Linked DNA regions of Alligator mississippiensis. The protein of the gene in region 1 interacts with the protein of each later gene in a biochemical or structural test. Links are inferred from orthologs where the notes say so. Each region holds a gene or a part of one and is shown on either strand. Other genes may lie near its edges. The genes, in order: LRRK1, BAG5, CHGB and MATK.

The links.
Region 2: the proteins of LRRK1 (region 1) and BAG5 form a complex in vitro, tested with the Homo sapiens proteins (2 studies listed by BioGRID and IntAct, with this or other methods). The link is inferred for Alligator mississippiensis from reciprocal best matches to the Homo sapiens genes LRRK1 and BAG5.
Region 3: the proteins of LRRK1 (region 1) and CHGB form a complex in vitro, tested with the Homo sapiens proteins (2 studies listed by BioGRID and IntAct, with this or other methods). The link is inferred for Alligator mississippiensis from reciprocal best matches to the Homo sapiens genes LRRK1 and CHGB.
Region 4: the proteins of LRRK1 (region 1) and MATK form a complex in vitro, tested with the Homo sapiens proteins (2 studies listed by BioGRID and IntAct, with this or other methods). The link is inferred for Alligator mississippiensis from reciprocal best matches to the Homo sapiens genes LRRK1 and MATK.

Annotation. Positions count from the first base shown.
Region 1 is NC_081834.1:7,133,142-7,141,139, forward strand, and holds the start of LRRK1 (leucine-rich repeat serine/threonine-protein kinase 1), read right to left. Parts: upstream 3,019-7,998; 5' UTR 2,919-3,018; intron 2,681-2,918; 5' UTR 2,583-2,680; intron 1-2,582.
Region 2 is NC_081825.1:286,693,208-286,700,957, forward strand, and holds the start of BAG5 (BAG family molecular chaperone regulator 5), read right to left. Parts: upstream 3,019-7,750; 5' UTR 2,869-3,018; intron 2,602-2,868; 5' UTR 2,574-2,601; coding exon 1,221-2,573; 3' UTR 1-1,220. Other genes in the region: cytochrome c oxidase assembly factor 8, read left to right, coding at 3,106-3,216, 4,749-4,946, 6,289-6,352. UniProt on the Homo sapiens protein: Co-chaperone for HSP/HSP70 proteins. It functions as a nucleotide-exchange factor promoting the release of ADP from HSP70, thereby activating HSP70-mediated protein refolding.
Region 3 is NC_081824.1:226,561,720-226,568,660, forward strand, and holds the start of CHGB (secretogranin-1), read right to left. Parts: upstream 3,014-6,941; 5' UTR 2,919-3,013; coding exon 2,870-2,918; intron 1-2,869. UniProt on the Homo sapiens protein: Secretogranin-1 is a neuroendocrine secretory granule protein, which may be the precursor for other biologically active peptides.
Region 4 is NC_081839.1:9,348,028-9,355,770, forward strand, and holds the start of MATK (megakaryocyte-associated tyrosine-protein kinase), read right to left. Parts: upstream 3,009-7,743; 5' UTR 2,644-3,008; intron 1-2,643.

The DNA.
Region 1 (7,998 bases):
GGGGAAAGGGAGGGAGGGAGCGTTCCTTTAAGCCTGGAGGGGAAGGGGGGAGTCTGACGTGCTTTGGGGGACTTACAAAAAAGTCCCCAGCGTCTCTGGTGGGGTTGTCTTTGCACACCAGTGGGTGGGGGGAGGAGGCTGGGAGCAGGGGGTGCAGCCACCTGAGCAGCATGGCCAAATCCTGGATTCACCCCGATCGATCTTCCTCTTTCTTGCCTGGGGACCCTAGCAAGATCAGAAGCTGTGGTGAGGGTGAATATGTGACGCTGTGCGAGATCACCCAGTGGTCACTGCACACACCACCACCTTTGCTTTGCTCTTTTAAGAAAGCCTGGAACAAGGCAAAAATATTTGCCAAATCACTGAACGTGGCATCTGCAAAACTACTAGCACCGAGGACCATCTTCTCCCTACGGCGCCTACTGATGTCTCAGGTTTAGAAGGTATGCGTGGGGAGGGTGGGAGGCGGCACTGCCACAGTATTGGCAACATCAAATAAATCATCCTCTACAACTCCGCTGAGGAATTACAGCAAGGGTGAATACGTCCTCTTGCAAAGCAGAGACTGGCCCCACAGCCCCCCCGCAGCAGACATCCAGTCTTACGTGACATTTTCCTCCCCCTAAAACAATGTTAGCAATCATGGGGGGGGAAAAATTAGATGCCATGCTGCAACTTGTGTAGTCTGCAGTGACCACTAACTGCAGGTGGGTGAAAACTGCCCCGGACACAATTTCCAAATGTGCCACTAACTCCCTCGCTCTGCCCCATGGAGACCCCGCAGGAAATCGTTCTGGAATACATGGTGCGGAAGAAGTCAGTTTGCCCCCGTCCGAGGCCAGGAATACAAACCTGTCCTCTCCGTAACTGCGTTATTGCAGAAGGCAATGCAAGGCAGTGCTAAGGTGATCCAACCGCACATCTTTAAACTCTCCCACCTTTGAATTTCTTTTCAGCATGTGCCCTGAATTTCCCAGGTTACTGATCGGGGAACAAGATGCAACATCCCTGTCATGTTTTATACCTTTAAGTTACTGCTCCATGTCTCAGCTGTGACATAAGGTTTTCTCTTGAATACGCAACAATAACCAGTGGATGTTGCCCAAGGTGCTGCAGTATCCACTCTGCCAGATTAAAGCAGGAAGCGATATATTTTAAAGCAGATTTAGATGCTATTTGCAAGCTTCCCAATTTCTCCTCGGAGACTTCCTGGCAGGCAGACAGCTTGAGTTCAGATTGAGTCCAAAGTCCAGGAGGCTTTTAAAAATAAATAGCTTTGCATTCCCAGCTTCTCCGAGCAATTCACAACGGTTAACTAAGCCTCTCCATAACACTGGCCCTCTGTGCCATACCCACGTTATAGGTAATCTGGGGCATGCCTTGCCTAATATCGCTCACCAAGTCCAGGCTCCAGAGCAACATCAGGAGGCCCCTGCTTAAACCGTCAGATCTCACTGCCTTCCCAAACAATGTCATGCCCTCTTCGAAGCCAAAGATAGAGTTAAAGGCATCTTACAATGGGCACTAACATGGGGTAATGAGGTGGATGAACAAACCAGCCGACCGAGGGCTCATCGGATGACTGCAGAAGGCAGGATGAAGCCCCACGCAGAGAAGTATTTTCCAAGAGAGAAGGTAAATTGGTGCAATGTTAGGGCAAAATCTCTGCTACATCTGTCAACCTCAGACCTGGATTCGATGGCTCCGAAGGTCCCCTGAAGTCCCGGGTTCCTCGTGGAACACCAGGAGCTCCCTGCCGAAAGACCGTGGCACGAGCTTAATTCATCCCATAAAATACTGGCAGCCACTAGCACCGCTCCTGCCACGGGAGCAGAGACACAATGAAAAGTAACCCGCCCTGGGCCCGTTCAAGGAAATAACAACCAAGATGCAATGACTTGGGAATGCTAGCAAGCCCCTTGTGTCGCCTAGCCTCCTGTGTCACAGCAGCAGAGAGCGGATGCTGAAAAGGAGAGTGAACGGGGATGCTTTTTTCCACCGCTCCTCTCGCTTGCAGCCTCCAGCACTCAAGCTCCAGGAAGCCCTGATTCAGAAGCCTCACTCCCAGGCTCTGTGGCTGCTGATTCACCTTCCCTCCACGAACGCCTCTGGTCCCGTTTTGAATCTGGCTGAACTGCCCTGGTTAGCGTAGAGACGCAGCGCTGAATTAATCACTGCTTATGGGGCGCTCCGAGATTCGTGCGAAAAGTAAAACCAGGGGTTATCAATTGTCACTGCTCTGCACCACGAAAAACTCCAGAGCAGGGCCAGGGGTTACTGTAGAGGCTACTGGATACAAAGTAGTTTCCCTTTGTATTTAAAGGATTTCCTTTCCACTGCCAGCTTTTAGGAAGTGGCACCTGGTAGGAGCCCAAACTTCGGCTCCCTTTGAACGGACGCTTGCTGCGGACGACACCCACCCACCCAGGCTGCTCTGGAGCTCTTCCCCTTCCCGCAAACTCTGCCCCTCATCTCGCTCGCTCCTCCCGCGCTGCAACAGGCTGCGCCGGCCCCGGGCCTGCGGTCCTGCCAGGGCGTCTCGGGCGTCGCCTGGGCGGCCTCGCCGATCTGGATGGACTTACGGGTCCCTTGTGCACCGGCCGGCTCCCCGGGACGCGGGCCCGCGCCTTGGGCACCGTGCGCTGCCGCTGGAACGACGTCCAGAGGAAAGGGACGGATGCTGCAAGAGGAGAAAGGGGAGTCAGCCGGGGGGTACCTGGGGGCTTTGGAGGAAAGCTCGTTTTCTGGTTTCCATCCAGAAGAGCTTTTGTTCCTGGCTCTCCGCGCACCCCTGCGTGACACCCACCCCGCGCTGTCCCCCCAGGGGCCCCTGCTCCGCGCGGCAGCCGCCCAGGGCCCTGGGGGCAGCTCTGCCCTGCCCTGCCCTGCGCCGCCACCCTCCTCCGCAGCGCTCCTACCTGCAGCCGCGGCCGGGCAGCCGGGCGGCGCGCCCACGGAAGAGCCCCGCTTCCTCCCCGCCGCGCCGGGCCGGGCCGGGCCGGGCCGGGCCGGGCGTGTCCGCCGCACGTCGGCCCGCCCCCGGCCCGCCCAGCACGGCCCGGCGCGCTCCTGCTCTCTCTATTGCCCGCGCGCACACTTTTTCTATTGCACACACGTACACACAGACGCACAAATTGCCTGCATGCACACTATTGTGCACACTCACACGCTATTGCCTACACACGCACTTTTTCTATTGCGCACATGCACACACAAATTGCCTGCATGCACACTATTACACACACATACACTATTGTGCACACTCGCACCCTATTGTCTACACACACACACACCTTTCCTATTGCGCACATGCACACACAAATTGCCTGAATGCACAGTATTACACACACACTATTGTGCATACTCACACACTATTGCCTACACACATTTTCTATTGCGCGTATGCACACACACGTTGCCTGCATGCACACTATTACACACACATACACTATTGTGCACACTCGCACCCTATTGTCTACACACACACCCCTTTTCTATTGCGCACATGCACACACAAATTGCCTGCATGCACAGTATTACACACACACTATTGTGCATACTTACACACTATTGCCTACACACATTTTCTATTGCGCGCATGCACACACACGTTGCCTGCATGCACACTATTACACACACATATTGTGCACTCGCACCCTATTGCCTACTTTTTCTATTGCACACGCAAATTGCCTGCATGCACGCTATTACACATACATACACTATTGTGCACACTCACACCCTATTGCCTACACTTTTCTATTGTGCACACACACAGATTGCCTGCATACACACACATACACTATTGTGCACACTCGTACCCTGTTGCCTACACTTTTTCTATTGCGCACATGCACACACAAATTGCCTGCATGCACACTATTACACACACACAAACTATTGTGCACTCACACACTTGCCTACACACATGCACACACTTTCTGTAGTGCCCATACACACACATGCACACACACTATTCCATGTGTACACACTGTTTCAGTCTCTCATCTGTGCGCACACACTCGATTACCCCCGCACACACCCACTCTATTCCTACACGTGTCTACACACCATCTCAGTCTCTCATCCACACACACACTTTATTGCACAATTACCCAGCCAAGCGTACCATAAAACGTAGACCAGCTACACTTGCAACTGATCTCTCCCACCTTAAAACACTCCAATCAGGTATAAAGTTATTGCTGGAAAACCTTTATTTCCACCCCCCATTCAAGGTGCACGTGTAGACAGAGGTGGGTGGGGAGACCCCAGCTGCTGCCACCTCCAGGGCGCTGGGAGATGGCAGCCAATGTGATCTCCCAGCCACAGGGATGTGGAGGTGCTCCACGCACCCGCATGCTGCCCCCAGGGTGCAGCTGGGACCCCAAATCCCTGCAGCTGAGGGAGCTCGGTCCCAGCTGCACCACATCAGACAGCTCTCCTGGCAGCCTCCACTCCCCAAATCCAACTGCTACTGTCGTAAGAGCCAGGAGGAGCAAGGCAAACTCATCTCTGTTCTTAATCCTGCCCTTACCCAGTCTCTTACTCATTGCCTTTTCTTCTACCCCCTCAGGCCTCCGTCTTTCCCTGCTTGAGACAGGCTTATAGAGACAAATCCCCACCTGCAAACTCTTTCTGCAGCAGGTTTCTCTGAAGACACAGAATAAAACCAAGGACCCATCTCTGTGCTGACAGACTGATGTAGATAAGCACGAATTTTCTCCAGATGCTCAGCTAAGATGCGCTCTTAATGGCAACCCCTTCTTCCTGCGTTGCGTTCCCACGAGTCTGCCCACGTCTGTAGAGCAACACGGCAACAACCAACACCCCACTAGCAGTCTTAGCACTTCTCTGGCTTTGGGCTTTATGCCCTTTAAATCAGTGTGGAGTTGTAAGGCTGGGTCTCCACTCCCAAACTATGCCCACTTCTGCCAGGCGAGGACGTAGACCACCTTGCAGATGGAGAAAGGCTGGAGCAGCCCCAATCCTAGCCTGCTGTCAATAGGACTAGCAAGTAAGGCCAGCAGGATTTGACCCCACAGGGGGCAAGCTGGTTGGAAGAGCTGTCTTATTTCACTTATACAGCACTGGCCCATGCCAACGCATTTCTGCATTGGCAGAAAGTGCCCTGCTCACCCACGCTGGTAATCCAGTATCATCGTGGACACGGTGCTCTCCGATTGAAGGTAGTTCAGTGTTCGGTTGTCCCTTTTGTGAGCTCAGCACGACTTTCTGCTCTTGGAAACCCGCTGGGGAAGACTGGATACCAGGGGGACAGACAGCACGCGGTCTCAAGGAGACAGGCTGCTGCTACTATAGCACAACAGGGGCATTTTGTTCTAGGAGCAGGAGCGCTTGACCCATCTACAACGTTCAATTCTGTTGACAATGGCCCAAATTCAGACTGCGTGAAGGGCAAGGAGGGGATAACCAGCAAGTCAGAGCCTAAGGAAGTCAGGGGAAGGTCTTAGGGAGCACAACAGCCTCAGTAAAGGACATAAAGCTTATCTCAAGGCAGCATTTGGCCTGATAATAGGACAAACTCCAATATCTTCTAATACAAAGGGAGCCACACTTACCTTTGGGAGTGAAATCAGATTTCCCCCCCGTACTTTTTTACTGGGCAAGATGTTAAATGTCACACCTATAATCTGTACCACAAAGTTAACCATTTTTATTAAAACTTGAAAAGCTAACATTACAAAAAAGATACCCAATATTCTATATTATATACATGAGGTTTAAAACTTAGCATTTCCATGTACCTTCAGCTATAAAAATACATTAGAATAACTGTAACCTAGTTTATATATTTATATATATATTTAAAAGTAGCATTTCATATAAAAAGCATTACTGTGCAATGGAAGAATATATACCCACTCGTGGGTCATTTTAAAAGTTAGTATTTACTGTTATTAGATATATAATTTAGAAAATTCAGTGTGTCAAGCCAAACCCTGATTTATACAATAAGAGAATACATTACTAAGTCATTTATTTTAAGTTGATAGGAAAAAAGGAGGAAAGATGAAATGTATATATTTATATATATACACACACACGTATTTTATATATATATGTATAAAAACCATACTAAAAAGAATATGGTGACATCTGAAAACATACAATTTCATTAAGATGTTTGTCAAACGAAGAAATACAGAAAGCTACATTGATTACTAATCTTCTTGCCTGACTTGATCACATACTTGCCTTGTGTCTAGTTCTAGCTTTGGATGCTAAAAGCCCATTCACTAAGCAGTGGTGAAAATGATTTCTGAGGGAGCGCTCAGGCTTCCTTGCTACACATTGCAAAAAACAGAAGACTATTTACAGTTTTCCCATTTGGACTTTCGGGGAGGAAGGAGGAAGTCTCTCTGTTTCAGGGAGAAAGATTCATCTGTGGATATCCTGCCTCACAGGAGAAAAGATGCTCCCTAGCATACAGCTACTGGGGATAGGTCATTGATAAGAAGTTAAAGTGTGAAAGCCTCATTTCTTTCAAGGCTTGCTGGCTCTTAAGGAAGGTCAGGTCCAAGTAAACCGGTCTCCCAGCATAGCAGCGTGGGAGTAATTCTTAATTACGTTGGAGGACACGTATAGTTTCTTGCTCTGGCCTTGCACTGCCATAGCGAGCCTGCATTTCCATTTCAAGACCCTAGTATTTGACACTTGCTATTTAGCCACCTGCAGGACTCCCACCGACACCTCGGGGTCCTCCTCATCAGTGCTGCGTGGAAGCCAGCGGGGCTCTGACAGTGTGTGGGTGCAGTGGTTGCCCATCAGACTTTCCTTACCTTCACTCTTAGTCAACGGTTCTCTGGGAAGCCTCTCCAGAATAGGCAGTTCAATCAGAGCATCCCCTGCCCCCTAACCAAAGTCCCATCTTGGGCAGTGCTATCCAGTTTGGGGCCTCTGGAAGTAAGCTCACACCACTGGCAACTTCCCTTCTCACCCTGGGCTTTCAGACAAGGTGCATCTCAATCAGGTTCTTCAATAGTATCCTCCAACTCAGACCCTGGAGGACCAAGCCATGGAGCTACCAAAGGATCAGGTCCTCTCTCTCTCAAAAACATACTGGGAGTTAAACATGAGAGTCCCAGCCTGGGAGCAGTTTCTCTCTCATTGTGTATTTTGAAGAGTCTAGTTTAAGCTACATTCATTGGGGGTATGGGGAGGGCAGGGGAAGGGGAGCTTTCTAATTTTGTTCAACCTCAAAAACAGATCTGGTTGAACAAAATGAACCTCGCGCATGGGAATCCAAAGGACAGCGAAAGAAGCACAAGGCAAACTAGGCTGCCTTTCCATCTTTCCTCTCCTCCGAGAAGATTTCAGCTCCAGTTTCCATTTTCCCCTCAGTGGTGACGTCACTACGGTAGATGCAGTGCAAAATCCTCTTGTGAAAAGTGCCGAAGTAATGACTTGTGATCTGAGCGACTCTGGAGCCAGGTGGATTATGGAGTCAATGACTTGTACTCTCAGCGCCTGCAGAGTGCGTGCACCAAGAGACAGGCAGCAAAGAACACGTGGATCTTAAGCCTGTGAAATCCTGGCCCCGTGGAAGTGTGTAAGAAAACTCCAACTGATGTCACTCAGGGCCAGGCTTCCACCTGCCTCAAGGTTGCATGTGCATGAGAGAAAGCAAAGGTAACTCTTCTGATAAAAGTGCTTCAAAACTCCCATGCACACACAGCCACGCTCCCCCCGACAGCAGGAGATGGGCTATCGTCTTCGCACCTGACAGACTCCTTTGACTTCAGTGGCATTGCTCCCACTACCAGCAGGAGCAATGCCAATTGAGTCAATGGAGCTGTGTTCATTTACTCCAAGTAAGGCCCACATACGTCAATGCAGGAACAGTCCACGTGAACAAAGCCCAAGGTCTTTCAAACATGATCTGGGCAAGTAATATTGCTTTCAAGGGCACCGTTTGATAAAAGCCGACTCCCTGTAATGCGGGATGTCTGGAATTTTGGTCACGGGTCAGACAGA
Region 2 (7,750 bases), on another chromosome or scaffold:
AACATATTTTGATCCATTAAGGCCATTTAATGCAGCTGTCTGTGCACCACCAAACATTTGCTACAGTGGAAACATGATTTGTGCTGGCTAATTAGTTCCCATGGCCAGAAGAAAAGGGTACTGCAGAAAGCAGCATAATCAGCTTTATTTAAACAGCTGAAGAACCAAACCAATAACTGGTGAATTAAGAGAAGAGACATTATGCTACAAGTCTTTTGAGTGTTAGCATCTGAAGATACCAGTATGAGATCTGTAACTTAGGTATAAAAGCACAGACAACATTGTAACTACCTAGTTTTACAAGGTTAAATCAGATGCATCCACAAGCAATAGTAAAAGTGGTTTCCATACTCATAGACTGTTGAGAAGATTCATGACATCCACCCTCAAGAACAGGGTTAGAAAGGATCTAAATGGCACCTGCACAAGATCCAGTCCAGGCTTTATGGATGCCAGTATAAAACCCTATAGATTTCACATTTCTCCACTCAGCGCCTGCTATAATTTTTTTCTGTTCCTTAAAGTATCATAATTACTTTAAAACAAAATGAGAACAGGAACTTTTCCCTAGGTCCATCCATTTTCTTGTAGTACCAACCAGCTGGGCATTATGTATGTAAATGTTAATTTGCAAGCTGTCTTGTAATACTGTTATGAAATGACACCAAACACAGTAGAATGAAATAGCTGGAATAAAATCAAGCACAAAGGAAAAACCAACATTTTTTTTTGCATTTAATCCTTCTGATTGGAACAGCACATTAAAAGCATGTCCATGCTGCTATACAGTTGCTAGATCTAATCTTGAATTTGGTCAATAGTTTTAGTTCCCTGCCTTCTTTTGGTACTTTTCCCAGTAATTTACTTCAAGGAAGCCCCTGCCTCTTTGAGAAGTCTGCAGCCCCTAAATTTTATATTATGTTTCTTTAAACAAAAACTTGGCCCAACATAAGACACTCTGATCATCACTCAGCAACTCAAGAAATCATCATCTACATACTGCAGTGATAAAAACTGAATGGTTAAGGGTAGGCGGACAGTTGCCATGGCAAACGAGTGAAAGCGTGGGATAGCCGTCAAGCCAACTATTTATGCAGTCTCTGTAACTTGAGCAAATATTAAAACAACACAAATTTTAATTATCTGCTGCTCATGGGACTATCAGTTTATATAAAGTGCAAAAAAAGAGAAAGCAATATCTCACAGGGACCACAGCTGTTTCAGTACTCCCACTCATCTGTTTTCATGTCTAGATAGTAAAGAGTATTCTGGGCAAGCTTTACTGCCTGCTTTCTGGCAGCCTTACAGCGTTCATCTCCTTGAGGGTCAACAGCATCAAGGGCTAACAGCTGCTTCGTGAGCAGCTCTTCCAGTCTCATGTAGTTCTTATCAGCTCGGTTTCCATCAAATGACAGCACCTCCTGCTGAATCTGAGAGAGACTTCCAAGCACACTCCAGACTGCTTTGTGGGAGTGATGTTCAGCATTAACTTGATCACTGTGCATTCGCCTTTTTTCTAACGCTTCTTTTAAATCAATGTATGTTATAAGAGTTTGCACTTCAATCACTGCTCTTCTCCTGGCTTCTCTGATACATGGATTCTTTCCTGGACTCACTTCATCCAAGCACGTGATTAATCCTTGCAGTTCTGCCTTAGATCCCAAATACAAGTCAGAAGCATTTTCCACTCTTAAAAGTACAGAATGAACTTCTTTCATTTTTTTGCGGATCTCTTCTATTTTCAGAATGGACTGATTTTGGGCCAAGTCATAAGCTGAAGTTGTGTCAGCTTCCTCTTCCAAATCCAGGTATTTCTGTAACTTATTGATCTCTTCCACCACTTCCTTCCTGTAATTTCTTATTTCTACGCGGCCACAAACATCCAAAGCATCCAGATCAGCCATCAAGCCGGTAAGCACGCATGCTAAGTGCCTGCAGGTTTCGTTGTTATTTACTCCCATGAGGAGCGCAATAAGCGTCCCTCTAGCTTTGTTCACGTCGCACAGGACAGAGTTAATTTTAGAAATGGAGGGATGCACGTCGTCGGACAGCGGCAGCGAAGGCTGCTGCTTGACGCAGCTTTCTATGATCTCCTGAACCATACACACTTTTGTCACCGTGCGGTACCTCGCTTTCCGCAAGGAGACTTTCCCTCCGGTTTTCACCTGAGTGAGTCTCAGGATGATGTCCTGAAGACCCTCTTCGAACTCGTCGCTGATGCAGTTGGCGCCTTTGTAGAAAGGGGTGATTTCCCGTTCCACGAGGGACTGCGCCTCCTTGTAGATGGCCTCGATCTCCAGCCTGTGCGGGTGGTTGGCGTTTTGCTCCAGCTCCTTCAGCAGCCTCTCTGTTTCCTGGGCCGCCCGGTTGCGGGCTTGCTGGACGTCCCCTCGGCCCTCCGTGTCCACAGAATCGATCTCAAACAGCTGCCTGGTCAGGGCCCGCTCCAGCTTCTTGTACTCCCGGTCCGCGGACAAGCCGCTGAAGGCCGCCACCTGCTGCTCCAGGTCCTTGACTTCCTTCTGGATCTCCTGGAGCCGTCTGATGGCAGGGTGTTGGTTACCCATATCCATGCTCTTCCCTCATCCGGCTCCACGTGAACTGAGAGAGACAGAGCGACACACGGGGCTTGGCACCAGTTCGACAAGCCGCCCTCCCTCTCGCCCCACACCATCGTGGGCCTGGGCTGGGGATCCGACCTCCGCCACCCCCAGCTCCTGGCCCGGGCCCTGCTGCGGGGCACAGCACGCCCTGCGCCCCCCCGGGCTCCTCAACGGTCGCGAGCGAGCCCCCCCCCGCCGCCCCCCCTTACCCGCGGGCCCCGCGCGGGCGCCTTGCGCCACCGCCCCCCGCCCGCTCGCTCGCTACCTACCTGCCGCGTTAGCCCGCCGGCCGTGACGTCACAGCGGGGCACGAAACGGCCAGGCCCGGCAGTGGCCAACCGGCGGCGAGCCCGAAGGGATGGGGGGGAGGGGAGAGGCCGCTGCGTCCAGTCCCGCCCTACCCCTCACGGGGCTCTGGGGGCGGAACCCCGCGAGCCGCTTCGGTTGGTCCGCTGCGCTCTTACGACAGTGCCGTAAAGCAGCAGCCGCCGCTGAGAGGCTAATGGCGGCCGCGTTGCGAAGCGTCCCGTGCCGTTGCTACTGCAGCAGCTGCCGCTGCTCGGGGCCGGCACGCGCCCAGGGGGCGGGGCTAGGCGACCGGACGCGCGGCGGGGTAGGTGTGGCGGGAAGGGCGCGGGGCTGTGTGGCCGTTGGCCCCGCCCTACCGTAATGGGCGGTAACGCTGTCGCAGGCCCCGCCCTACCGTAATTGACGGGATGTGCGACACGGGCCTCTCCTAGCTGGGCCGTGCTGGAGCGGGTTTGGGCTGGCTCTCCTGACGGACCGTCCAGCCCGAGCGCTTCATAAGCACCCTGGGCTACGAGCTCCCCCACAACTCACGGATTGAACGAACCGGGATTGGCTCTGGAGGTGGACGCTGTCATGCCATGCTCGTAGGTTCTCCAGTCGGAGGGCCCCGAGCAGATTATCAAGTCCGCCCCTGCCCTGGGCAGCAACGAGTGCTGGGATCGTAACACCCCAGCCAGATATCTGTCTCTTGAAGGCCGGCCGGGTAGGGGAGAGCGCCGCTGCCTCCCTGGGGAGCCCCTTCCAGCGCCTGGCAGCCCTCACCAGGAAGCGATGCCTCCTGATATCAACCCTGACCCTGCTCTCAATCAGTTGGTGGCCAGTTTGTTTCTGTTGTGCCTTTCCCGTGGGCAGCTCGGCGTGCTTGAGGGAGCCGTGAACGCCCCCGGCAGGGACAAGCTCGCTTGTTCGCGCTTGGGGAAAATGGGAGCGTTGGATTGATGCTGAGGCTGTGGCGGGCCAGGACTCGTGCAAGAGGCGAGGGTTTCTTAGGGCGGTATCTCTTACCGGACCAGCCGCCGAGCTGGGATAGAATTAGACAAGCATTTGAATGCAAGGCTGCCTTCGTCAGCTCTGAGCTTTCAAAAGCTTGTCTGACTCCGTCGCAGCTATGTGGTTGGTCCAATGAAAGATATCACGCTAAGAAATCCCTGCCTGTCGCACAGTTTGGGAAACTAAACCACAAAAAAGTAATTATTTTTCTAAACCAAGCAATGAGTCATTAACAAGGTGTGCTAGAAATCGGGTGTTTTCCCTGCTCCAGCTTTGACAGCTCCCTGGGGAGTCTTTGCTTGCTATTATTAGACATGCAGAAGCAAAGAATAAATAGAAAATAATACCACAAAAGTTTTTTAAGGTGGAAGGCGGGGCCGGGTGGCCCTCTGGACACTAACTGGTTCTGAGAAGCATGAGCTTTCGTAACCTACAGCCTGCTTCATCAGGCTGTATACATGGACTCGCAGAAATAAAGGGTGTTTAGTAGAAGGGAATTTAAATACAATGGAAGGGGACACTGCAGTCACTCATTGCTATCAAATAACGGGACAACATGTCAAGTGAAACAGTCATTTGTTGTGTATCTAATCCACGTTTGTTGTATGACTCAGAGGTCACTTGTGCATCTGTGTCATGTTGCCAAGCATAAAAGTGAATCATGAATTACTGTAGAAAATTTAAATCGGATTAAACCAAACTCGCATTCTTTTTTCAACTATTCAGTTACATGTTTTGAAGTTATACTCAGCTGTGTGAAGTGTTATGATATTTTTCTGTGAACTTATGTACAAAACCTAAATAATTCAAAATGCTTGTTATTCCTTTCTTTTCTTTTTCCCTGAGGTTTCAAGCTTCTGCCCTCCGGCACGTTCTTGTAATGATTGGATCGGCCCTCCTGACAGATATTCAAACCTCCGGCCAATAATATTTTATGTTCCTAAAAATGAATCATCACTGGAACAAAGACTTAGGGAATTTAGACAAGAAACTCAAATGTGGAATCAACAATTCTGGGCAAACCAGAATGTGTCATTCCAGCAGGTGAGCGTGTAGATGAGGTACTAAGCCACTTGGTGGTGCTGAGTTTCTTTAAGAGCTTGCCGTGTTAATAGCTGATAGATAAATGGAATTATGTTTCTTACGTGGAAGATTTTCACAGCTGCACTGCAGAGTGACCTTGAAGCATGATTGTTCTTTATTATATAACTCCTCAAAATAGTTGAGGTAATGCAAAGTATTTGTCTTCAAAAATATTATTAAATTATGTCTCTGCAGTTCTTTATCCTGTGCTTTTAAATTTGATTTTGTAGCTGATTCAGCCTGAGTAATGTCAAAGAAAACCAGTTTCTAATGCGTCTGTTTTTGTCAGTTTCTGTTTTTGCCGTTGTTATATTGTCTTCTCAATACTAAAGAGCACATTTAAAGATCAACTACATAGTTAACCAGTGTATGTCTAGCTGCTGTTTAATGCAGTATAAAAATATTCTCCCTTTTTTCTGGCTTTTTATTTAACAAATATCAGTGTATGATTGTCCTCTTTTATCCTGGAGAACCTGGCATTCAAGCTGGTTATTGAAACCCGAGCTGCAAGCCTGATAACTCCACGATGAGTGGGAGCATAGATGCAGTTATAGAGGGAGAATAAGCAAGAGCTTTTCTGTCCCAATATATCTTCCTGACCATGACTTTGGGCAGGTCATTTTCACTCCTAGTCTCTCTCAGGTTTTTTTATATGGTTGCACACTGGGGAGGAGATACTGAATTTTAGGTTGAGGGAGCAACAGCAGCTTAACTATTAACCCCCAGCTCTGATGACCTTTTCCAAGGTTCTCCAGAAAGTGATAAAGTTCTCTAAACAAGAGAAAAGTTTGCTTCCTTTAAATGTCAAAAGAAAATTTTGGGGGTTCCGTTCTTTTTTTAGTTTTAAAACTTTTTTTTGGCTGTTTAAGTAGCTTTGAATTAATTTAAAGGGGAAGCTACATGTATTATTTGGACTCAACTTTGTGTATAAAGCAACAAGACCTAATTTGATAAATTGCCTTATTTAAAACTTGCAATGTAAGGTCCTGATCCTGTGAACTTGCGCACGTATATAACTTACACAAACAAATCACATTTATTTCTGTGGGATTCTGTATATAAATAAACTCATACACACATGTAACAGTGTGCAGGATCAGGGCTCAGTGACTGTTTCCTTAAGAGGATCAAATTAACTTATTATTGGATTAAGCAACAAACACTGTTGTCATTACCAGGTTTAGTAAGGTCTAGAAATGGTCCTTTTACATGTTCTTGAAACTTGCTCAGTAAGCTGGTAGGTGGTATAGGTTGGCTAACTTCAAAGACTAAGTGTGTTAATGTGTGGAAACATGTGTTTTAGGGAAAAGAAGAATTCATTTATTCAAGACTGAAAGCTAAAGGTCTGCAAACAAGAGATGAAACAGGTCAGTGAGGCTGTTGTATGTAGTTTAGTGTGTCTTCTGTTTTACCTTTGGGTTTTGCTAATTTCAGTTCCCCAGAAAGCTCAAGAGCAGTGGTCACCAACCAATGGATCTCAATCCACCAGTAGATCTCAGAACCTCTTGCAGTAGATCTCGGAGCCTCTTGGAGTCAATCTGAGGCTGGGGTGGAGGGGTGAGTGCCTGCATGTATGCACGTGAGCACCCCAGCCCAGCGGGTCGGTCTGTGGGGGAGGGAAGGAGTGGGGGCTAGATCAAGGCCTCTGTGGTGAGGGACAGTGCCACGGAGGCAGGAGCAGGGGTAAATTGAGTGGTGCCCTGGCCGGGTGAGACTTACCTGCCGGGGAGGCACATCCCCAAATATTTTTTTTTTCTCCCTCTGCCTCGATTTGCCCCACTCCTCCTTTCTTCCCCATGGACTTACCTTCTGGGGGTGGGGGCAGTGGCGGTGCACAGTAGATCTTGGGTTCTTTTTTAAATGCCAAAAGTGATCTTCTACATAAAAAGTTTGGAGACCAGTGCTCAAAAGCAAATCCAGCCACCTCTGTGGCTGCAGGGGTACGCTGTGCCTCTAGGAGCTCTGGCAGCCTGAGATCTCTGTTCCCAGGAAGGGAATCCATAATTACTTGGTAGTCCAAGTTAAAGCAACCCTTCTCCCCCTCACACATACTCACTCCAGTGAAGTAGTGGAGCTGAGTGTTGGAGAGAGTTTGCTCCTGAACACACATTATGCTGGGGCTGCTAGCCTCACAAATTTGGGCTGTCTGTGATAAGAGAGAGGCTGGTTTACCTGTGCTGCCCATGTGGCTGGGAAGGCAGCTAGGCTGTCCAGGCATGTGACCTGGGGGTCTACAGCCCATGCAGCGTGTGCCCCCCCCCACACTGTCCAAAAATTGGACAGCCCTGGCTTATACATACAACATGCTTCCTTGAGGAAGAGGGAGTCAACTTCTGAGGAAGGAACAGCTATTTCCCAAGTTTACTTGCCTGAACCCAGTTTCTGGAAAATGGTTGCATGTCTGTTTAATGAGATGGAACTAAAAATAAGATACTAATACAGGGGATCTGTAGAGCATGGTACTAAGCATGCCTGAAAAGAATCATTTGATAGATTGTATTGTCAGAGGAGGCCATGAAAGCATCTAGTCTGACCTGTATTTTACAGATCATTACATTTCTCCTACTTATTCTTGTTTTTAATTCAGTATCTTGTTTGTTTGATTAATTAGATAAATTAGACTAATTAGATAAATTGAATTTCTGTCATGTTTTTTAAAATACCAGAATTTAAATTTATATCACAGTGTTAGTTTTCACTTTTTATTGTTTTATTTAGATTACAGAAATAACAGAAATAATAAATTTGTATATTTCCTGGAACTC
Region 3 (6,941 bases), on another chromosome or scaffold:
TGCAACCCCAGACCATTGACCCCAGCCCCCAGAGCCCTGTAGTCACTTCATGACCCACCTGGGATTGTTCTGAGCCATGTCATTCATGCCCGCATGGATGAGGAGCATGGGGTGGTGGTCGGAGGGCCGGATGAGTTCGGGGATCCTCTCAGTTACATCCTGGACACAAGCCCCTAGGCCAGAACCATAGGCTTCATCTAAGTCTCAGTGGTACCAGAGCGGGAGAGGGGGTCCAGCTGTAGGGGGGAATTTTGTAGTGCAACGTGTCCCTCCCACCATTGCACAGGTAGTAGACCTGGCTACTGTTGTGCTGACCTTCTCTTGAGGCTCACCACCTAGAGCCTAATGCCCCTCCTGCTTGCCCTCCTATGCTAACTCATGTACCAGGCCTAGAGCGCTCCTGTTTGTGCACTTTGTTCGCACATTCTGTTCACGTGGCTCCCTGGGGGGCTGAGCCAAGTAGGAGCCAGGTGGAGGCATGATCCTCCTCAGCTCCTCTCAGCTGCCTCCTGCAGCTGGCTACTCCCCTCCCACCGCAGGCCCCACTTACCTCCCAGCTGTGCTGGGGGGCAGGGTCGGAGCCCACCATGTGTCCTTCTGTGGGGGCCCTGGCTCACAGGGGCACAACAGGCTTCTGCCTGTGCATCTCACTCTGAAGCTGGCCCCAAACTGACTTTGCTACTTCAAAATGAGTTTCCTAGTCATATTTTTCCAGTTAAGGCTAATTAACTTTCTCTCGCATAAAACTGGACTTAGAAAAACAGTAGGGAAAGAATGATAAGTGTTACATAGGCAATTAAATAAACAGATGACTGATTAGTTTTAGAATAGTGTAGGCAAAAAGACGTGCTTTTAATTTAGTTCTTCTCACAAATTATGCTGTCAGCAACCAGTTTAGAAAGACTACCAAGCAGTCCAATAACAGGTCCTTTACATTAAACAGCAGCCTGCTCTGGAATTATTCTTACTGTAGTCAAGGGAATATTCAAGGAGCTCAGTACTGCTCAATGTAAGTACAAGTGATAGATTCAAACCCCAAATGAGTAATATGATTAAAACAGATCAAAAACAGATTAAACTGGAAATCTTTTCACTGACACATTCCACATGTTTCTATGTCTTTAGTACTAATACATTTGAGCTCTTCTAAACTTTGTTGTGACATTTAATTGGGGGGAGAGTTAAATAACAATCATTCCACCTGTGGAATTATATTTGTTAGCCATCTATGTATATGCTTTCCCTTTAAATTTCTAGAATATGTTTTATTTAGTCAATACCCATTTTATAGAAACCTCTGCCTGCATAGGCACTTCTCCTTAGACAGATAATTCTTTTGGAGCATCTTGTTCAATCTCCAGGGCTCTTCATGTGTCTGCCTTGAGTGGAAGAGTAGGCAAACTCACAGACCATTTGAAAAATAAACGACTCAGAATCATTTGGTCATTCTCCTCTTCCAGAATTCAGCTCTGTTTGACAGGTTCAGCAAATAAATCCATCCCAGATTTCCGGTGATTGGCCAGTTTCAGTGAGAAGAGGCGCTACTATCCACTCTCTAAAAAATTGCATTGAGTTGGATAGAAAGACAACTCTTAACAGATGGCATAATCCTCCAGGATAAAACCTTTCCCTTCTCCAACATCAGGGTTTTTTGTTTAGTTGGTTGCATTTTTTTTTGGTTTGTTTCTTAAAGTAGGCTGGTTAACAACAACTAAAAGACAAGCATCAGTTTAAAAAGAAGAGTTTCTAGCAAGGCGTTTTATCTTCATGCCCTTTTAAATAAAGCCCAGCTTTTTTCCCCAGACAGACTTTTTTTCCCCAACACATGCCTGTTAAAAGGATGGGTTAAAAAATAATTGGCAAAAGAGCCAGATGCTTATTATCTGCTTGTATTTTTATGATATGGATATTGTTTCTTCTCTTCATTTTTAATAACTTCTTGCTGTCTCCATTTCTGGCCAGTCTGGCTAAGAAGACTAAAGGAGTCAGAATGGTTCCCAGTCTGTGCCAACCACAAACGATGAAATCTGTGTGTGCATTCGTGAGTGCTCACACATGATATAGAGAGAGAGATTTTACACATATGGAGACACCTACACACTAGACAATGCATACATGCACGCTGATGTATGTATACACACCTGGGCAGACATCTGCTTAATGCACTGTAGTGTCTCTCTAGAGACCTCCATGGGATAAACAAAGGTGTGTGCTGTGCACACTGCAGAAACCCCAAACACTTGGTATACTTCTGTGGAGATACCTACCTGCAAATGGGCACACTGATGCCTTCAGACCCATACACATGCATGCTATGGCACATAGACACATGCAGGACATGGGTGGGGGGGGAGGTATATGTGTGTGTGTGCGTGTGCATGCATGAATACATGCCTTTATGTTTTCTCTGTGCAGAGATCTGTGCAGGTGTGAGCATCTATCTTTGTCTCTGTAAGAGGCAGGCAGACAGGGACTGGAGAGGGAAGGGGGTTCCTGCAGACACGCACATATGCACACACACAGGCATGCCAGACACATGCACACTCACACACACACGAACATGCACACATACTCACATGCTCTCATACACACAAGCATGCACACATGCTCACAGACTCATGTACACACACAGGCATGCACACACACACTTATATGTACACACAAACATACACACATGCTCACATGTACACACGCATGCACACATACTCACATGTTCTCACACACAAGCATGCACACACACACGCTCACATGTACACACTCCTCTGTACACACGCACGCACGCACACAGCCCGCCGGCGGGCGCTGTCCGGGGCGCGGTGCTGGCGGGCGGGCGGCGGCGCTGGCCGCGGTGCCGGGCACGGACACTCACCTGCGAGCGCGGCGGCCCCCAGCAGCCCGAGCAGCGCCAGCGCCGGCATCGCCCTGCCACCGCCTCCCGCTCCCGCTCCGAGCACGGCGGCTGCTGCTGCGGCGGCGGCTCCCGGCGGCGGGGCTGGGGCTAGGGCTGCGGTCGGGCTGGGGCCGCGCGGCAGCGCCGCGCTATTTAAAGGGGGACGCGGGGGCGGAGGAGCCGGGCCGGGCACTGTGGGGGCGCGGCGCTCCCGCCCGCAGCCTGCGTCACGCCGGGCCCCCGCGCCCGGGCCGTGGGAGGCGCCGCTGTCCGGCACCGCCGGACCCTGCCCCAGCCCAGCCTCGCCTTCCCGCCACCGTCTCCTCCTTGGCACCCCCCGCCCCCGAGCCCTCCCCGGCCACGCACAGCCCTGCCTGGTTGCCCCTCGTCACCACACAGCCCCTCCAGTAGCCTCACAGAGCCCCTCCACCACCACACAGCACTCCCTGAACCCCCCCCCTCCGCCTTCACACACAGCACCCACCCCCGCCTGCCCCCCAAATCCAGGCCCCCTTCCCTACCCACCCCCTCCCCAGACTGAGGAGACAGCTCTCCCCACTTCCCCCTACCCTTTCTCCCCAGGGCTGCAAAAGGCAGGACCCCTTTTCCTTTCTCCTTCCCCCTCTCTTCCCCCCTGCCCTGCACCCAGTTCATCCCTTCCTCCTGCCCCTTTCCAAGAGGTATGACCCCCCTCCACATCTCCCCACAGGCTGGCTTTAGACAGAGCCCCCCCACCCCATCCCCTTTCTCTGGGCTGAAGGATGCAGAATCTCCTCCTTCCCCATTTGCACCGGATGCTGTAACATTTACCTACATGCAGCCATGTGGGGAGGGGGGTGGGTCATTCAGCCCCATGGAATAAATGCAAAGGAAACCACCACATTTCTAGGTTCGCTGCTGATCAGGGCTCCCTAGGATCTTAGCAATAAAGGTCGCTGTTATTGCAACCCCTCTAGCCTTTGGGAAGCCCATGCCTTCCACACTAACCATTCTCCCTCTTTTGACAATGCAAAACAAACCCTGGATCAGATACTTGCTAGCAAATGAGTCCCATATGCAGCAATCCCACTTGGTCTCCACAGCCTGATCCTTTTTCCATGTGGGGAGATCATCTCACACACACACACACATATACACACAGGCACACACACTGTTCCTCAAGAGGTGTGACTGAGACACTTTCTGTTATGATCTAACATACTGGGAAAAGACTACATCATTTTTTAACTAGACCCCATCCTTTGAGAGTATCCCTTGATGAACAAAGTATAAAATCCTGTAAAGCACTCCCTGCAGAGAGAAATGCTTGATGCCCCCTCAGTGAGCAGAGCTGAGCAAAGATATCCCTCACCTAGGTTCTTTTTTTCCCCCTTGCTTCTTTCCTTCCCATCAACTCTTAGAGAGAGCACTCTCTCCCATGCCTTCATGTTTGACAGCATCTTTTTCAAACACGGCAGGCAGGGGTCTGTCTTTGATTGCCGGTGTTCCTGAAGAGGCATGCATTTGTAATCTGCTATACCTTATATTACTTCTATTAAGGTAATGCCCAGAGGCCAATTGAGAATGGGGTCCCACTGTGATGGGCACTTTAGAAATAGAGAATAACAGCCAGTGGCTGCATTCAAATGATTATTGTTAATGCTAGACTGATATATATTCAAAGGATATAAACACATAAAACAGGATACAAGGACACCAAACACTGTGAAACGTCACGCTTATTGGCTTCTATGCCTAGGAAAAACCAGGAACTTATACCCTATTTTAATCCTGCTTTAGAAGGCAGCATTTCAGAATGAAGTCAAAGCGGCATGCCTTCATACACCCTCTTTGTCATTTGCAGGAAGTGGCTTTCTTTACCTGGTGATAATATTATTACAATTACTTAATTGTAACTGAAAAGCAAATCAGTGGTCACTTAATCAGTGGTCAGTCCATTTGTCTAACCTGCAGGCAACCCCTCCCATGTCCCTATTTCCTGATGTCACTGACTGGAGGGACTCCTAAGGCCTGATTCAAACAAAACCCCCTGAAATCGGTGGAAAGTCTCTCAGGAATTCTAATGGCTTTTGTTCTGGTGCTACTGATGATTTGAAGATACAGTTTGGCTCCAAGTCAAATTATCTTGTTCCACAATTAGAAAAGATTTAATAGAATATTGGCTGTTTACCGTAAATCGTGTTCTCACTCTCCTCGTTCACATAGTGATGCTTCTTGGTTGCCCCCATGTAGCTTTTGTACCACTGACCTTGCATTGCTATAGCTAGGCCTAACTTCCTGCTGCTGCATGATGTGGGAGTGGGTGGGGGGGATGGACATATTTTAATACAAGTGAAATTCACCTTAGTGCAGAGGATGCACAGTTAACACTCCATTTGATAAGAGATAGCTAATGGGGCAATCACATGGGAGTCTTCATGCTACAGAGAGTGGTACTGGGGTTGGGACAGGTTTGGGTCCCAAGGTTTACCTTAAGGTTCAGTGGCCTAATTGTTCTGTACAAGTAGCTGCTGTTCTAGTAAGGGGCTGTACTACTGCCTTGCACTCAGCTATGGGAGTGGATTTATTGTTACTTACAGGATCTTTGAAAGTGCTCTTCACCATGAAACCATTAAGGGTTCGAGCTTTGCAACATTTACAAAACAGGAAATTTCTCTGCGTTCCTTTTACTGAAGGGGAATGAAGGCACAGGTGGGATAAATAATGTTTCCAGTTACATCAGGAGTAACTGTGAATTACTTCAAACTTATATTGGCGCAAAGGAAATCAGAATCTATCCTAAAGAGATCGATCTAACTTGTCAGAGGTCACACAACAAGCTCATGGCAAAACCCAGAAGAAAGCCTGATGAAAAAGCTGACAGGAGTGAACAAAGACAGAATATGAAAGCATGATCTGAAACCCATTTATTTTGGTGCCAAAAAACTTGGGCAAGCCCAAAACCCACAATCCACATATTTCTCCACAATGGATCCACAATGGATTATTCCAGCCCAAAAGCAATAAAATGCTTCATTATTTTTAAGTCAATTTCATAATTTTAGAGGGCTGAAAGTTTGTAGTTCTGTATCCAAACGTCAGTGCTGTACTAGATTCATAGATTGTAGAGTCAGAAGGGACCACAATGGATCATTGTGTCCAACTGCCTGCTCCTGGCAGGAAAGAGGACCGAGGTCAGATGACCCCAGCCAGGGGACTATCTAGCCTCCTCTTGAAGAACTCCAAGCTGGGTGATAGCATCACCTCTCTTGGAAGCTCATTCCAGATCCTGGCCACCCTTACTGTGAAAAATTTCTTCCTAATATCTAACCTAAAGCCACTCTCAACTAGTTTACACCTGTTATTCCTAGTCATTCCCTGGGGCACCCTAGTAAACAGCGCGTCCCCTATGCCCCGTTGACCTCCCCTAATAAATTTATAGGCGGCCACAAGATCTCCTCTCAGCTGTCTCATGAAGGCTGAAGAGATTCAGCTCTCTCAACCTCCCCCCATAGGGTCTATCATGAAGGCCACTAATCATGCGGGTCCCCCCCTCCTCTGGACCCTCTCAAGATTCCCCGTGTCCCTCTTGAAGTGTGGCACCCAAAACTGGACACAGGACTCCAACTGCAGCCTGACCAGTGCCGCATGGAGGGGGAGCATCACCTCCTTTGATCTATTAGTCATGCACCTGCTAATGCACAACAAGATGCGATTGGCCTTGTTGATGGCCTCATTACACTGCTGGCTCATGTTCATCTTGGGGTCAATTATGGCTCCAAGATCCCTCTCTGTCTCCAAGCTGCTGAGAAGGACACTCCCCAACCTATAGGTGTGCTGGTGGTTCCTCCTTCCCAGGTGGAGTACCTTACATTTATCTTTATTAAATTGCATCCTATTTCTCTCTGCCCATTGATCCAACCTGTCCAGGTCAGCCTGAATCTGCTCCCTGCCCTCCAGTGTACTAACTTTGCCCCATAACTTGGTATCATCAGCGAACTTGGAGAGGGTGCTCTCCATGTCCTCGTCCAAATCGCTGATGAAGATATTGAATAATATCGGTCCAAGGACC
Region 4 (7,743 bases), on another chromosome or scaffold:
GCCGCCATGATCAGCACCACAGGAGCTAAGCACTGCCCTTTGTGTTGCCTGGAGCTGCCCTGCTTTGCCTCTGATACAAACTCACTTTACTTCAACCTCTGAATCGGTGCCTGGCTGCCAAGAACCTCTGGTTAGTGCAGAAGTGCATGGCTCCATATTGCACTGATGGTGGCACCCCTATACACCTCTCCAGCAGCATCTACCTTAAGAACAGCAGCTTGGAGGGCTATGGCAAATGAAGAGCACTGGGAAGTTGCTGCAGATGTAACGGGGAGCTAAGTCTTCAAGGGCTGTCCATGTGTGGATGCCCGGTGCTATGGTCACACCCAACAGGCCCTACATGGCACTGCCATCCATGGCTGAACACAGTCATCTAGCGCAATCTGTTGATCAGGCAATGCTCTTTGCTCTGCTCGGTTGAGGAGCAGTCAAATGAGGTGATATTGGAGCCTTGTTGCTTCCAAAGCATGCCTGGCGTGAATCAACAGTAAGGCAGTATAAAACAAACCATCCCAGCAGGGGCAAAGACCAAACAAGACGTGATAACCCTGTCCACAGCAGAGCGCAGCACAACTGCAGCCTCCAAATTTAGGAGGCTGGACTGTCACAGACCTCCCCATCCGTCTTTAAGATGGCAACAGCAATAATCTGGTCAGGGGTGTTGTGAAGTGCTTGGTCCTGCATGACCGAGGTCATGGAAACACTGAGATATATAGTCATAGGTCTTAGGATGGGCAAGTCAGCTGCTTTTTCCACTCACTCTTCCCCCACTATAAACAAACCAAACCAAGCCAAACCTGACTGGTGGGAAAGAAGAGCAGTCATGATGATTAGAAGTGATGCATGGCACCGCGCGACACCAAAAACGATACCCAAGCCACCAGAAAGGCTAGCCACGCCTGCCAAAGCAGCACGTCCCAGCAGATCCTGGCAAATCTTGGTCCCTCCTCTCCTGGGGGTGCCTTCTGCAGGAAGGTGCACTGACAGCTGTTGGCGAATGGTGCTGTGAGCAGGGAGCAGCAGGCAGATCAGCACAGCTGGAAGGGAAAGTGGAAGCACACAAGTGCTTCACAAGAGCACCTCTCGGGAATGCGCCTACAGGTGCCTAGATACCAAGAGGTAGGAGCTTTAGCTTTGCTAGGAGGGGTCAGTCCTGGATCTGCAAGGGCTGTAATACTGCTGGATAATCTGGCCATTAGTGGCCTTCTCCATTTCTCTGCATTGTAATGCCCCAGAACAGCTGGTTTTCCATTCAGAATCTTCCCTTGGGAGTATGCATCTGTGGGCGACTTCAGCAAGAGGGAAGGTGGGCTGCTGGAGAGCCTGGGGGTCCAAGGTAGGGAAGAATGAACAAGAGGTTCATCTGCCCCACCCAACCCAGGCAACACATCTTATGAGCCTGGCTTAAAGGAGTCAGCAAGAGCTGATAGACAGGAGTAGTTCTGGTGATCAGGGGCAAGGGGTCTGGCTGAGACCATCAGATCCAGCTGCAGAAACCAGCTTATTAGAAAGGCCAACATGCATCCTTTTCCTCTCTGCCACTCCCAAAGCTTATAAATGAACTTCTCCTACACCGCCCTGTGATCCTCGAGCATACCTTGTCTATGTGGATCTCCTTTCTGGGTGTCATGGACCCAGAAGTCAGAGCCATTTGGACAAGTACCTCGAAGAAAAAGCACCTGGACTATAACATTCTTTATAACAGCGATTCTCGACTCAAGGCCCCTCTCATTAGATTCAAGACACCCCTCGGAAAATGCCAGCTCCTAGTGTTTTCACTTGTTTTTTGGCTGCAGAAAAATAACAGAGCAATTCTTCTGTTGCAAAGAATGCAGAAAGGCCACCGCAGGCCAGAGTGCTTTGGACACTCTGGATTTCTAGTTGCAATCCCTGGGTTTATTGCATGAATCGTGTGTAGATGTTGCACACTCAGCAGTGCTGATGTTGTGTTACACTCTGTGACACACTTAGAAGGCTTTCATGGCGCCCAGATTGAGAATCACTTTTTATAACTTGGAGCCCCCACCGCCCTACACTAGGCTGGGACACAGGGCTGAAAGGTGAACAATTTCCCCGTTCCCAACCAAATGAACTAGTTTTAATTGCCTTAGCCTGTGGAACTGAGTATATTGAATATACTGAGTATATTGAATATACTTCCTGATAGATACCACATATACCGGAGGGTTTGGTTCTTACACCAATTCTCACGTGCTTTAGGAAATTGCCCAGAATATGGAAACCATACTGGTTTGAAGCGCAATAAGACAACTATGCCCTCAATGCACGGAACTCCTCCATCTTGAGAGCTAAAGGAATCAAAGGGCTTTACGTGCTGTCTTGGAGTATACGTGTGCTTTGGTAGCTTGCAGGAAGCCTACCAGGATCTCTGCACCAAAACTCAGCACGCTTGTATCTGCTTTCTAGAGGTACCCCTCCTCCCCGCCTCACCAATACCCACCCACATGGATATCAGGAGGGCCACCTGGGTACAGATGGACAGAGGTAAAGAGGTGGTACTGAGCTACTTATCCCTCTGACTGCAGCACTCTTCGTTTGACAGTCACTTGGGTCTCCTCTTTCCCCACCAAGAAAATATGTTACGCAGCGGCATTACTGAACCAGCCGGATCTTTGCACTTACCTTCCTGGAGTGTCCATGCAAGGTCCTTGGTGTTAATGTCGGTACAGGTTTGACCACAGCTTAATCTGGAGCCGAGTCCCAAGATTCGTGGACAATAAACTCCTGTCCAAACAGAGGAGCGGAGCGTTACCACCCAGGGCAGCTGCAGCACCCTCAGAAAACTACTGTCGTTATACTGCCTCAGTGTTATTTCCTGATTTCTCTCTCGTTTGGCTCTTCTGCAGACGTAACGTCTTAGAGGTCCTAGTGCCTGCTTCCTCCACAGTCAGGTTTATTATTCACCAGTGATTCATTTGTTGCTGAGGCTAAATCCTCGAGTGACTTTTGCCCCCTCATAACACATGCCCATTAAGGAAATTGAGGAAAGCATTGGCAATTGGCTGATCTGCAATAATATAGCATTTTATGATATCCAAAGCAAACTAGCATTCAAGTGATATGAGCAGAGTGCAATTTACTCCTACAACTTTATTTTTAGCGGCACTTATTTTTAGTGGCAGGGACTGCATAATCACCAGCGGGTGACAACGCGAGGAATCATGAGTGGCAGCAGCTTTCCCACAAGATATTTTGGAGCTTCAAGAAGGGAAATGTGATTAGACTCTAGTAGGAACCTTGAATTCTGGTCCCAGCTTCATCACTGACCTTCTGCCTGGTGTGAGGAAGTCACTTCTCTGTGTCTCAGTGTTTTCAGCATTAAAACCGATGATAAAAATATTGACCTAGCTCACAGACACATCACGAACAAAATGAGTAACTGCAAAGCATGGAGAGATCCTTAGCTCACAGATGCCGTACAAAGGCAAAAGATTACGCAGCCCTCGCAGCCCTTAGTTAGAACATGTGGACACAACCTGTTTGCTAGGGAGTACATTGGCTTTATGCTGCAGCAAAAATGAAGTGGACACACAAGTACTAGTGTAAGTCACTCTGCTCCAGGACAACCTTACCCCTCAGGAAGTGAGGAGCAGCCACCACTGATATAAGTTACATCGGTGTCCTGGTCCTGTGGTTACATCTCCATCCAAGGGAAGCCCTCGGTCAATGCAAATCAGCTGTCCACATTGCGTGGCCAAGTGCTGCAGTGGCACCTACTGGAAGCAAACAGCCTGGGCAATGTGGGCATTAGGGCTGTGTGAAATTTCGCTGGCAGTTTTGTTTTGATGTTGTTTCGACTTGTTTCCAGCTCGAAACAGCGAAATCGAAACAAAACAGAGCTTTGAAACAACCTCGAAACAAAACAAGGCGAGTCGAAACGTTTCGAGATTTTTTAAACGTTTCCAGTTTACTGTCATCCTTTCCTGAGGTCCCGTCCAACCCCAGTGCTCTGGGGGAGGGATGGAAAAACTGCATAAAAGGCAGTATTGTTTGAACTGCCCTGCTTTCTGCCTTGGTGGCAGTTACTGAGCTGCGTCTTCCAGTTTTGCCTGTCGGCAGCTAGAGGTGCAGGGCCCCAGAACCAAGAAGCCCCTGAACCTATGTCAACAGCTGGCAGCTTCATGGCCTCAGCAGGGGCCACCATCCCTGCAGCTTTCACCCTGCTGCGCCTTCACACACACAGTGTCACCCATGTCACGAGTTTTGCTTGTCCACAGCTTGAGGTGCAGTTTCCCCAAAACCCCTGCACCTATCTCCTTGAAACTTGGCAGGCTTCATGCCCTCAGAAGGGGCTACTATTCCTGCAAGTTTCATCCAAATCAGACCAGAAATGACAAAGTTATAGGCAGTTTCAAGCTTCCCCATTATAGCCTACGGGCAAAACGTTGAAACAGCGAAACTGTTTCGATGAAACAAAATGGAACAGCAGTTTCGAATCGAAACAAAATTTGAAATGAAATGCTGTTCTGTTGAAACGCAAGTCGAAATGGAACGGTGCCGTTTCGCACAGCCCTAGTGGGCATGTGCCCATTCATTACTACATAGTAAACTAGAATAGCCGTCCTCAACCTTTTTAGACTCAAGGCACCCCTGGTTAGATTTGAGGCTCCATCAGAAAATGCCAGCTCTCCATTTTTACGTTTTTTTGACTACAGAAAAATAATATATCAATTCTTCACTTGCAAAGAACTCAGACCATAACAGGTCAGAATGTTTTTAACACCATAGGTTCCTATTTTAAATCTCTGGGTTTGTGAATCCTTTTTGAACACCTAACAGTGCTAACATCACATGGAATACTATGACACCCATCTCATGGCACCCCAGGGCGGCATGGTACCCTGATTGAGAATCACTGTATTTTAGAGTAAAATCTACGTTAAATTTCTCTGAGTTAATTATGTCATGTGTCCATACCCAGAAGTGCACAAATCATTGATTTGTTTCAATTCCTGAACAAAACCAAAAAAAGTTGAGAATTACTAGGGTTGCGTCAGCCCAAAACAAAAGGGCTGTTTTCCAGCAAAGTGATAAGAACCAAGGCATTCATTTTAGGGAACAACATTCCATTTTGGAGCTTAAGCCTTTTCAAATGAGACTCTGGCCAGTTCTGAAATGGTCATTTTTGGAGCAAAAGTTCAATGTTTCATTTTGGAAATATCAAAACAAAGCAGTTAAATATTTCTAATTTGTTCCTTAATGTTTCAGTGGAGACTGCAGGATTCAGACTGAGCTTGGGGATAATTTCGGTTCCTTGCAAAATTGCATTTTTTTCCAGCAATTAAGCAGCTCCCCCAGATAGCTGGTGTTATCCATCACAGTGTCAGTGATGTCTATAGAGCTATAAAAACACTCTGGAAGGACTTGGCCCTATAGCTTTTGTATCATATACCTGGGCCGTCCAAGAGGGTGGGCATCCTAGGGAAAGGCCTTGGGCTGGCTATTTTGAAAGGTCTGAGATGAAAAGAATCCTCATCCAAGACATGCTGTTGCGAAAATGACTGATGATTACTTGTGAAATAACTTATAGACCGCTGCAATATAACAGGGACTTCGCAATGTGATTCAATACGTTTGCTATTGCTGCCCAAGGGTATTGACCAGGTGAATTAACAGCTTCCTCATTAAAAGGAAGTTGTAATGAGGAATTAAAAATATAAGCAAGCAGTTTCCTAGCTATTAACAAAAGCAAAGGACTAACAATTCACAAGGACAATGCCATGACTCATCTAAATACAGTCTTTTGGGGCTGGGATATGATGCTGATAGTGTTTTTCAGATACCTGCTGTTAATTACAGACCTGATTCGTTTTTATTCTGTTGCACATTTGTAAAAAGTTGCAAATACGACCACAGGTTCCCTGTGCCAGGCCCAGTATAAACACAGTGAGACAGCGCTTGCCTTGAGAAACTTGCAGTCCAAGCTGGGGGTGGGTCCGAGGAGCACTGTGGGATGCCGGAGGACTCAAAGGTCTCTGTTGTGCTCCACCGAGCATGTCATTTTGAAGCACTTTTAAAAAGTGGCTGCTTCCTTCACCATTCCTGTGGCACTTCCACTGGTTTGGGAGCACTTCAAAGGGCACATACATCTGCCTGGCTTGCCCTTTGGCATGCTTCAGTGGCATTTGAATAGGGTAGTCATACTTCCCAAGTCACAAAATGGCATAGTCTGCTCCTTCCCAGCTCTCCTGTATATTCAGCTGTCTTATCACTCCAGTCTCAGCACAGGGAGCAAGGGGGTGAAGGGGTTTTGTGAAGCACCAGCGTTGGGGTGGGGAAAGTGAACTGTGAGAAGCCAGAATATCAGCAACCCTCTATCTTGCTCCCTAGCTGGAGAGCATTGCTGCTGCATTCCTGCTGAGAACCAGGTAAAGGCATTCATTTGACACAGATGGGAGAGGGGGTTAAAATGGGCCTGTTCCAGTGAAAATGGGATGTATGGTCACCCAAATGTTTCAAAATGCTACATGTGTCCACACCCTGAGTGGCCCTATGATGTGTGAAAGGGAACAGATGACCAGTGAAGTGAACTCAGCCAAGGTCATGCAGGAAACCTGACCTGGATCTCAGGTCACAGGATAACAGCCTCACCTGTCAGCCCAAGTGAAAACAAAAGGGAAAAGCAACTTGAAAGCTGGACACAAGTTCATAAGGAATTAGGCACGTTGCAACATGCAGGTGAAAGCGAAGGTCAGTGGTATGGAAGGGGGAGCTGCTAGAATAGATGTGCCAGAAGCAGTGGAGTATTTTCGTATGATCAGACTATAAGGTGGGACCTGGGAAGGAGAAGCTGCAATGGGCAGCACAGAAACAGATTGAGAGCCTTCCAACAAAACATGGGAAGAGAAAGCACGATGGCTGAGCTGCAAGGCTGGGCATAGATCCTAATTATCTGAAAATGGTTCCATCTGATTTGATTGCGGAATACCTGATAATAAAACTGTATGTCGAGGTACTATTGTTGCTATAAAATGGTGTTGCGGCGCTGACTTTTCTTTTGCTTGAAGTCAACCAGGCCTGCATGTTCCCTCTGCCCACCCACCCTCTTTAAAATCTGAAGTTAACTGTGCAATTAAATTCTTTGAAATTAGGCCGGAAACAACCCCCAGACTTATACCACTGTTAAAGATTTTATGCATGATGCATTTCCTCAGGAAACTGGCAATCAAAAGCAGAAAGCCTTGCAACAGGGCTAGGTTAGTTAGTCCCTAGGCCTACCCACAAAGTAGCAGTTTCCTTTCCATTCTCAAATTATTATTTTCTTTTGCACCAACTACAGCTGAATACATGAGGGATGAAGAATTCTAACGAAGGGACAAAAAAGAAATCTCATTTTAAGCTTCCTGTGATACCTATTCTTGGGGTGGGGGGGAAGTATTTAGTAAGTGCTTCCTGCCACTGCAGCCAAGCTTGCAGGTTCAGCAATGGCTGTGTAAAGGTGTGTTAGCAGCAGAGGCTCCAGGCAGCACCTGAAGTTTTCCCCACCATATAATACCTAGTGAAAGCAGATCTCTGTGACGCTGCTGAAAAAGTCTGCCCCAGCGCGTTGCCACAAATCCTGGCATTGCTGGAGCTGAGCTGGCTGTTAGGAGAGAGGGAAATTTTAAGAGAAAAAAAAAAAGCCAGCATAGGTTTAAAGTAAATATTTTCAATGAATTTACACCTGAATTTACACCAGTGAATTTACACCTGAATGAGGGAGTGAGTTTTGCATGGGATGGA